Arabidopsis thaliana: one gene and its partner. The protein of the gene in region 2 interacts with the protein of the main gene of each other region in a biochemical or structural test. Each region holds a gene or a part of one and is shown on either strand. Other genes may lie near its edges.

Evidence for each region. The genes of interacting proteins can lie anywhere in the genome.
Region 1: the proteins of HSF3 (region 2) and HSBP form a complex in vitro, tested with the Arabidopsis thaliana proteins (one study listed by BioGRID).

What each region holds. Positions count from the first base shown.
Region 1 is NC_003075.7:8,986,045-8,990,280, reverse strand, and holds HSBP (heat shock factor binding protein), read left to right. Parts: upstream 1-1,619; 5' UTR 1,620-1,941; coding exon 1,942-1,944; intron 1,945-2,555; coding exon 2,556-2,609; intron 2,610-2,701; coding exon 2,702-2,725; intron 2,726-2,819; coding exon 2,820-2,862; intron 2,863-3,280; coding exon 3,281-3,417; 3' UTR 3,418-3,683; downstream 3,684-4,236. Other genes in the region: AT4G15810 (P-loop containing nucleoside triphosphate hydrolases superfamily protein), read left to right, coding at 1-203, 468-1,119. UniProt on the Arabidopsis thaliana protein: Negative regulator of the heat shock (HS) response. Affects negatively HSFA1B DNA-binding capacity in vitro. Involved in acquired thermotolerance but not basal thermotolerance. Crucial for seed development, after fertilization and during embryogenesis.
Region 2 is NC_003076.8:5,528,330-5,533,440, forward strand, and holds HSF3 (heat shock factor 3), read left to right. Parts: upstream 1-1,865; 5' UTR 1,866-2,116; coding exon 2,117-2,374; intron 2,375-2,980; coding exon 2,981-4,168; 3' UTR 4,169-4,170; intron 4,171-4,251; exon of another isoform or gene 4,252-4,259; 3' UTR 4,260-4,560; downstream 4,561-5,111. Other genes in the region: AT5G16810 (Protein kinase superfamily protein), read right to left, coding at 1-139, 250-315, 419-499, 719-776, 867-965, 1,323-1,549; SYP21 (syntaxin of plants 21), read right to left, coding at 4,747-4,812, 4,908-5,008, 5,107-5,111. UniProt on the Arabidopsis thaliana protein: Transcriptional activator that specifically binds DNA sequence 5'-AGAAnnTTCT-3' known as heat shock promoter elements (HSE).

The sequences.
Region 1 (4,236 bases), on a different chromosome or scaffold from region 2:
ATCGGGAAAACTGGGGTGGGAAAAAGTGCAACGGTTAATTCTATTTTTGGGGAGACTAAATCTGCTGTTGGTGCATTTGGAGTTACCACTAACTCTGCAAATTATGTTGTTGGGAATGTAGGAGGAATCCAGATAAGTATACTTGATACGCCAGGACTCTTGTCCTCTGCAACTGAGGAACAGTTTAATCAGGAAGTCCTTATGTCAATAAAGAAAAGCATGAGAAAGTTCCCAGTTGATATCACCTCTATATTGACCGTCTAGATGACACTCCAGACATCCGTTTACTTAAAATCATCACCAGTTCCCTGGGCTCGTCAATATGGAAAAATGCTATCGTGGTTCTAACTCATGCAGCTTCCGATGTTGTAGATTCTTTAAGCTACAAGGAGTTTATTTCTCAGAGATCTTCTCTTATGCATCAATCAATCAGACAAGCAGTTCCAGAGTTAAGCTGTATAGACCAGAGCAAGATGCCTAGGAATTGTTCTGGCAGAGAACAACATGAGCTTCTTCTCCGCAAACAAAAGCAGCGAATCTACATGTTCGGATTGGAGATTGAACTTGCTGATCTTATGTTGCTCAGTTAAGATCCGGTCTAAAGCCGGTTCTTTGCAAAAGCAGAATACCGATGTAGAAAAGGCCGGTGTCTTTGGCTCCCAGCTTAGCTCTTTCACTCTATTCTGTTCCTTGTGGAATGTGTTACTTAACTCAGGGCACACTTCTCATTCACATGATGATTTGGAGGAGAAGAAAAGGAAATTACTGGATTCTTACCCTGAAATTATATGGGACGAACAGAGTCAAGAATGTCTCGAGCAAGAAACACTTCTCGTGGAGAATCAAGAATCAGAAGACGTGGAGAGACAACATGAAAAAGGAACTGTACTTGGTCGTGTAAGAACCAGAAGAGGAAGACTTGGATTCCAAGCAACAAAAAGGTTCGGTATCTATCTAGATACATCTGATGTGCACGCAGGGTTTTCCATTGGAAGCCGAGACTGTAGAAGAAATGTACAAGAAGAAGGGAAGATCTTGGTGAGGATGAGAGGCTCCATGTCTGTTTTAGGTTTGGTTCCTATGTTGATATCCGTATTCACTTCTGGAAAAGATATTTAAAATTGGAATTTGCTCTTGTTGTAGAAGTTGTAACATATCAGATGTGATCGTCGTGTCTTTTGTATTCCATTGATAATACACGAAAATTAACTATATCAAATACCAATGGTGTGAGGATAAGCAACATTTCACTTGTCTCCTGATTGTCTTGTGGTCAGGTTTGTTACTTCTTCCTCTATTGGGTTGTGGAGGATTAGAATCTCTCACATGGAGATAAGATGCTTATGTATGTCTTTTGGTTGTAATCATATAATTATATAAATCATGTGTTTCATTTCTCTTGTAAAATCATGATAGTGTTCAACAACCTCGTTAATATATCTATTGATGGTAAGAAACAAATAGGCTGTTCCAAATCTACATACTTCAGTCATCAATGTGTCAGGGTTTATGCCATTAGTGAGATAAGTCGTTATACAACACAATTCGAATTGGTCTGCCTTTAATCATCAAGAGGAACAAAAAGTTAAGCCAAATTTACAAATAAGATGATTACAAATAAATGTTTGCAGATTTGAACATCCACAATAATGATTTGAATCATCCTAAGATCTAGATCTCAATACCAAACGTACATAAAAATATTTGAAATTTGAATCACACACACATGATCCCACCCAATCGAATCATAACGATAGAAACTAAAGTAAAGAGGGGGCATTTTGGACATTGTATACCTATAAGGTTGGGGTTAACAGTAACAGCGTTTCTCTTCTCGTTTTATAAACATCGCATCACTCTTCTCCTCCGTCGTCTCTCATCGCTTTTCGCTGAAATCAAAATTTCTCCAGTTTTCCGATCACTCGCAAGAAAACCCTAAAAATGGTAAATATCCGCCTCCTAATATCATTGCGCTTTTTCGATTTTGCGTTTTCGTTCACGAAACCTAGGCTCGTTTATTCGGATTTGTCGATTGCATTTAAGGATATATCTTCGGATTAGGTTTTTTTACGGTTTAGTGGGAATCTCGCATGATATTCTTATGGTTGTTCTGTTATTGTAGATCAATTATCGAAATGTTGAGTTTATAGTGAAATCTGGACGATTTAGAGCATCTTTTGCTGGGTTACAATAAGATTTTGCATTTGCTCGATTTTCTGTTTTCATCTGTGGATTTTGAACTTGTGAATTCGGCTTTTCAAGAACTCTAGTATCGTGAAGTCCAGGATCTGATGGGGAGATTCAGTATAAGTTAACTTTTTCGTCCTTTTTCTTACTTAGAAATGTTCATGTATCGAGTTTGCTGTGTGTAATGCTAGTAGTACTAAGAAAGTTCAGATAGAAATATTCTCAATGGGCAATAGTTCATGCTTGTTTCTTTCCTTGTAACAATTTTTTTTCGTTAGTATAAAGCTTCAATTTCTTGTCCTGATGATTGTTATATTTACTGTGTCTTTGAGTTTCTTCTTACAGTTTTTTTTTTCTTTTGCTGACAGGATGGTCATGATTCTGAGGATACTAAGCAGAGCACTGCTGATATGACTGCTTTTGTGAGTATTCTCGTTCTCTTTGTTTGGTATTTTTGTGACTTTGAGACAATTTCACTTGGTTTATCACTGAATCCTTGAATTTTTATATGCAGGTCCAAAATCTTCTCCAGCAGATGGTAGGTTTTTCAGCTTTTATGTCTTCGTAGGCCTTGGAATTATACCTTCAATAGGTAGATTTTGATTAAATTTGGTCACATTTGTGTGTTTCAGCAAACCAGGTTCCAGACAATGTCGGACTCCATCATCACAAAGAATATCCTTATATCAATCTGTGGTTTTACTTGAGTGTTGCTTGAAGTAGAATATATGAAATGTTTCCCTCCTAGAACCAGTAATGATGATTGATTATTTGTGTCTTCAAGGAAAGAAGTTTAGTACTAGGTATTGAGAATTATCATTAGAATCTGTCTATTTTTCTGATTAAAGTATTTCTTGAGAGTCTAAATGTCTATTCTATGGGTAGTAGCACATGGTTCTATGGTATTTTCTCTTGTTAAGTTGCTATTATATGCATGCTTGTTCTTCTGCTCGCTATATATTCTAAACAAAAGCAACTTTATCACCATGAACTGATACAAGTTTGTAATCTGTGGTAACTCTTTGATCAGCAATCTTGTGTTCATGACATTGGTTTTGATCTCCTTGACTTTGATTTTGATTTGATGGTTCACTTGATGACATGGGAGGCAGAATCAATGAGCTGGAGCAAAGCATCAATGATCTAAGAGCCGAGATGGGAGTAGAAGGCACTCCTCCTCCAGCCTCCAAATCAGGCGATGAACCCAAAACACCGGCTAGTTCCTCTTAAAAAGGAATGTGGTGTTCATTGACATGTCCGAAGGAAAAAGAAAAACTATGAAATATGTTAAGAGCAGGCAGTATTACTTTTAAAATTCCTGTTTTAAGAAACGAGTTTGTTGTTTATTAAAGTTCATCAAATAGATTGATGATGTGGTGCATTACATTATTCTCCACCTATGAATTGCATTTCTATTTTGGTCTTGAGAGAACTAAGAAGTCTTCTTATGCTCCTATAATTCATATTACTGTCGATACTTAAACGCAACTTATCAGGGGGAATAGACAAACCAAGTTCATTGTTCCATTTTTGGGTTTGATTCCGGTTTTATTTTTTCAGATTTTGAATTTAGAAAAGGTTAAAGTATAGGAGCCATAGTTAGACTGATCGATTTATCAAAATCGAATCTCATAGCTGTATTAGGCTTTGATTATTTCGCATTTGTGTTTACATGAAAAAGGTCGGTAGAAATTTTTTAACAGTCTATTTTTGCCCAATGTGAATATATTTTCAAAGAGGATATGTTTAGCCTGCGTTTACAACTAAAAACAAAAGTTGTTTAAAATGTTGAAAATTGCAAGGTTTCAAAGAAACACACTAGATAGAAAAGTAGTCACAAGACTATCATTATCGAATAAATCAATAAACAACTGGTGATGAGTTGGTTTATGCTTGTCATGAGGTATGAGTTTGCGGTCCAAAACCCCTTTTCTCCAAAACTTTGGTTTTTATTTCTCTGTGACAAAGCCCCTTGAGGACCCCGGAGGAGCAAATAAAGTGTATCTTCGAATATCAATGCTTTGTTATTTTGTTTTGACTATTTTTTCT
Region 2 (5,111 bases):
AGTTTCTCCTTCGTTTTATCATCTGCTCTTTTTCATAAGGATTCCATACTCCTTGGGAGCGAGCTCTGGTTGTTTTTTCACTCGCAGTTTGCGCGTAGTCAGCTGCACTATCTTTCCCACCATCACGAAAAGCCAGCCACTGTAAGAATGAATTGACTCAGCCTATGTTCCATAAGGTATGCCAAAATATCCACAAACTAGTGCAGCTTAGATTCAACAAACTACAGTGCCACATATTGTAAGCCTGACCTGTTCCCCAAGTTGTGTCTCAAAGCCACCAACAAGTAGAAGCAGATTAGCAGGCAGGCTTTTGCTCTGTATAGACAAGCAGAATAACAAGTTGATTTCACTATTAGCCACCAAGGAGATGTAATTGCTAAGAATCTATTTAGCATTTTTGCATGGCTATTTATCCAACCTGGAGAAAAGAGTGTGCATTAAGCTCGTTTGCTGCCATCATGTCAGCCTCAACTCCACCAGCACGCTGTCCGGGGTAGACCTTTACAGAGACAAGTATGTGAGGGAAAGAATGAATGCAAAGCAATAAAATATCCAAATGAAGTTTTGATGATTCTAATAATGTAAGGAGGACTCGCACAGCTGAACAAAATATGCCCAGATAATGTAGAGAGACTCATGAAAAATGGAAACTGCCTTCAGGAAAAGAACAATATTGGCTGAGAAGAAGAAACAAGATTGACAAAACATGCAGAATCACCTTAAAGACGACAGGCGTTCCTCGAAATGGACCCTGAGATATTCGTCCTTGATATAGTCTGCATACAAACTGCTGTGGCTAATACATTTTTAACTTGACCAAATATATTACCATCTAATAAATTGTCTACACAAAGCCAAAAGTGCACCTGATCTTAACGGCACCTTCTCCAATATCTTGAGATTTTAATCGCCCAATATCATCAGACGTATATTCAAAGTCAGATCCTGACTGCAGCCCTGTATAACTAGGAGTATAGAAGTGGTGAAAAGCTAAGTAAACGAAGTAGAACACAGCGGCAGATAAAAGAGTAAAACTAGACCAACAAACGTAGCATAATCTAGCTAAAGATGCACAATAATCATAAGAAAGGTCAATGTATCCCAATTCAAATACACTAACAAAAGTGATTTTTTTGTTAAACCCTTCGAATAATTGTCAAGCTCACGTATACATTGCAATGAGTGCATAAACCTGTTGCAACTACAGATTCACACATACACAAACAATTTCGATATAAAATTAGAGATTTCGTTACACGAAGACGTAGAAACAACACAGAAGCTCCAGATAAAGAGAGAAATCAAAAATCCAGTGAGAGTACCTAGTTACATTCATGAATCCGTAGCTTCCGATAAGCCGCCCTACCTCGAACGAGTCAGCACTGGTTATCAAACTCGCTGTCACCGCATGCAACCGCCGAATCGGCCGATTCCGTCCACGCGAATTTACAATCCGACAGCCGGAGAATCCATCGCCTGATTCTCTATGTTTCAAAGAGAAACGCGAAACGCATTCGAAGGAAACGCGATGAATAGCGACCAGATTCATCGCTTTTGTTTGTGTTTCGTCGCTTCACTTCAAATTACTTTCCAGGATTTAACGAGTGTCAGTGTCAGTATAAGAGAGAGAGAGATAAGAGCCAGGAAAGTTTTCTCTGTGTCTTACGTGGCTTTTAATATACATAATTAAATGATATAATCGTGCGTCGTATAGATAAATATCTGAGATAATCTTATTAAATTTTAACGGTGTATATTATGCCACGTATGAAACTCACCGAGAAAAACAGAAAAAGCTGCTATCGATGCTACGTGTACTTTTAAACCGAATTAATCCGAACCAAATCAAAATACACGAAATGAAACCGTTTAATTTAGGTGACAGTCAGAGTGTCTACCAAAACTAATCGTACAAAACCGAACTGAATTGAACCGAAATGGCCATGCCTGCTTTTCTTCAGCTTTAAGGGAAAAGATCAAAGATTGGGTCTTCAACACTTGAGAGAGTCTCTGTCTCTGTAAAAGATATTTGAGCTTGAGAAGAACAGAAGAAACTTCCAGGATCAATCAATCGATCAACTTTAGTGAACTAACTCTTGATTTTTCATTCGAAGTTATGGAATCGGTTCCCGAATCCGTACCATCGCCGAACTCGAATACACCGTCAATACCACCGCCGGTGAACTCCGTACCGCCTTTCTTGAGTAAAACCTACGACATGGTTGATGATCCGTTGACCAATGAGGTCGTTTCGTGGAGCAGCGGGAACAACAGCTTCGTCGTCTGGAGTGCCCCGGAGTTCTCGAAGGTGCTCTTGCCCAAGTATTTCAAGCACAACAACTTCTCCAGCTTCGTCAGACAGTTAAATACTTATGTAAGCATCATTTTTTGTGTTATTGTCAATTTATTTTTCTAGAAATTGATCGTTTTTTCGTGGTACAATTTGGGGAACATCGTGAAATGTTGAAGGGTTCTAGTCTTAGTGACTAGATCCATGGATGTGTTGGATTATTTTTAAAGCCATATCAATCTGTCTACTCATCAAAAGATTCCACAGAACTTTGCAGGCGCACTGTCACATATGTCTGAAGATTGTTTCCTCAATTGTTTTCTGCCTTGTAGCTCTAACAAAACAGAATGTCTATCAGTTGTCTGAACATTAGCTTTGTTTTCATTTGTATATTTCCGTCCAGGTACACTTTTTTGATAAACTAAGAACTATTACTTTCCTTATAACATGGTGATTTTGTGCTACACCCAAGCATAGTGTGGAGAATTTGTTTACTTCTCAAACTTTGCTATAACTAGAACATATAACTAATCTGGTCTGTTTTCTAGTCTACCTGTTTAATGTTTATACATTTTTGTACAATTGCGCTATGTTGGCTTTTCTTCTTCCCCTAAATTCAAGCAACATCGTTTCAGTTCTTCAATTTGAATTTCGATATTTATGATAGCCTCTCTGTATTCTGATGTCCAGGGTTTCAGAAAAGTTGATCCTGACCGATGGGAATTTGCAAATGAAGGATTTCTTAGAGGCCGAAAACAACTACTGAAGAGTATTGTCAGGAGAAAACCTTCGCATGTGCAGCAGAATCAGCAACAAACTCAAGTTCAGAGCTCATCTGTTGGTGCTTGTGTCGAGGTGGGGAAGTTTGGAATAGAAGAAGAAGTGGAAAGACTTAAGCGGGATAAGAATGTTCTTATGCAAGAACTCGTCAGGTTAAGGCAGCAACAGCAAGCTACTGAAAACCAACTGCAGAATGTGGGACAGAAAGTTCAGGTGATGGAGCAAAGGCAACAACAAATGATGTCGTTTTTAGCAAAGGCTGTTCAAAGTCCAGGTTTCTTAAACCAGTTAGTACAACAGAATAATAATGATGGCAACAGACAAATTCCAGGAAGCAACAAAAAGAGGAGACTTCCTGTAGATGAGCAGGAGAATCGTGGTGACAATGTGGCTAATGGTCTTAACCGCCAGATTGTTAGATATCAGCCGTCGATAAACGAAGCAGCACAAAATATGCTTCGACAGTTCTTAAATACTAGTACCTCACCTCGGTATGAATCAGTTTCAAACAATCCTGACAGTTTCCTATTGGGTGATGTTCCCAGTTCTACCTCTGTAGACAATGGGAACCCTTCAAGTAGAGTTTCTGGAGTAACATTGGCCGAGTTTTCACCCAACACAGTTCAGTCAGCAACGAATCAAGTACCCGAAGCAAGTTTGGCTCATCATCCTCAAGCTGGTCTGGTTCAGCCAAATATAGGTCAAAGTCCGGCTCAAGGAGCAGCACCTGCAGACTCTTGGAGCCCTGAATTTGATTTAGTTGGATGCGAGACAGATAGTGGAGAGTGTTTTGATCCAATAATGGCTGTTTTAGATGAGTCAGAAGGCGATGCAATTTCTCCTGAAGGTGAGGGCAAGATGAATGAGTTACTGGAGGGAGTCCCTAAGCTGCCCGGAATCCAAGATCCATTCTGGGAACAGTTCTTTTCTGTTGAACTCCCAGCGATTGCAGATACAGACGATATTCTATCAGGATCAGTGGAGAATAATGACTTGGTATTGGAACAAGAACCAAACGAGTGGACCCGTAATGAACAACAAATGAAGTATCTTACTGAACAAATGGGACTGCTTTCCTCAGAAGCACAGAGGAAATAAAGGTAAGAACATCGTTAAGTTCAAACATGTTTCTCTGCATTGTTGTATATCTTGAGAGTTATCAATTGTCTCTCACAATGTAGATTTTCAGGGGAGGTTGCAAAAGGAGATATGAAGGAACGAGGAATATATCAGATGGTGTGTATACCCTTTACATTTTTACTTAAATGAAAAAAAAACAGAGAGAAGAAACATAAAAGATTTACCACCAAGCTTGTGAATAGTTAGTAGAGATCGGTTTTTGTGTTGTTTATATTATACTTTTGTGTGAAAACGTTCATCTTGTTCAATTATCATCTCACTAGTACGGTAATCTGTTGGTCACTGACCGGTTAATGACCAAAAAATCAAGATTATTTTCTTATGTTTATTTCTTTTGATCATGAAGATCCTTATGATGGAGTAATACATTGATTAAACATTCACACGATGAGAAGTTAAGATCAATTTGGTTGAATGGGGAAGATGGAGTATAAAGAATCTGTACATTAGATATATATCTTTAATGGGTCTTTGTATAGTTTCCATAGATTCGCTTGATGCTTGAAGATTGAAGCTTGGAGTTATATGTTTGATGCTTAGACCAAGACAACGATGATGACAATGAGTAGAACAATCCCAAAAATGAGAATAAGTAGGCATGTCTGCAACAAAGTAAAAGACAACAAACTTAGCTTAAGCTGCTAAGAATATGAAATCACAGAACTGAAAATGAGAAGAGAGTCTGTTTAGTCCGTACCAAAGAGGAGTTTGATCTTTGAGTTTTAGCTGCTTTTCTGAGTTGAACAGTGGCTTGTGTAGTTGCAGCATGTGAGTTGTCAAGGTTAGAGCTGATGTCATCTGCCAGTGCACATTATAGTTTTTTTCTGAGACTTTAAAAAGGCAAAGAGAAAACGAACAGGGAGATTTACAATTTCTGATTGTTTGGAGTTACTTACCGACA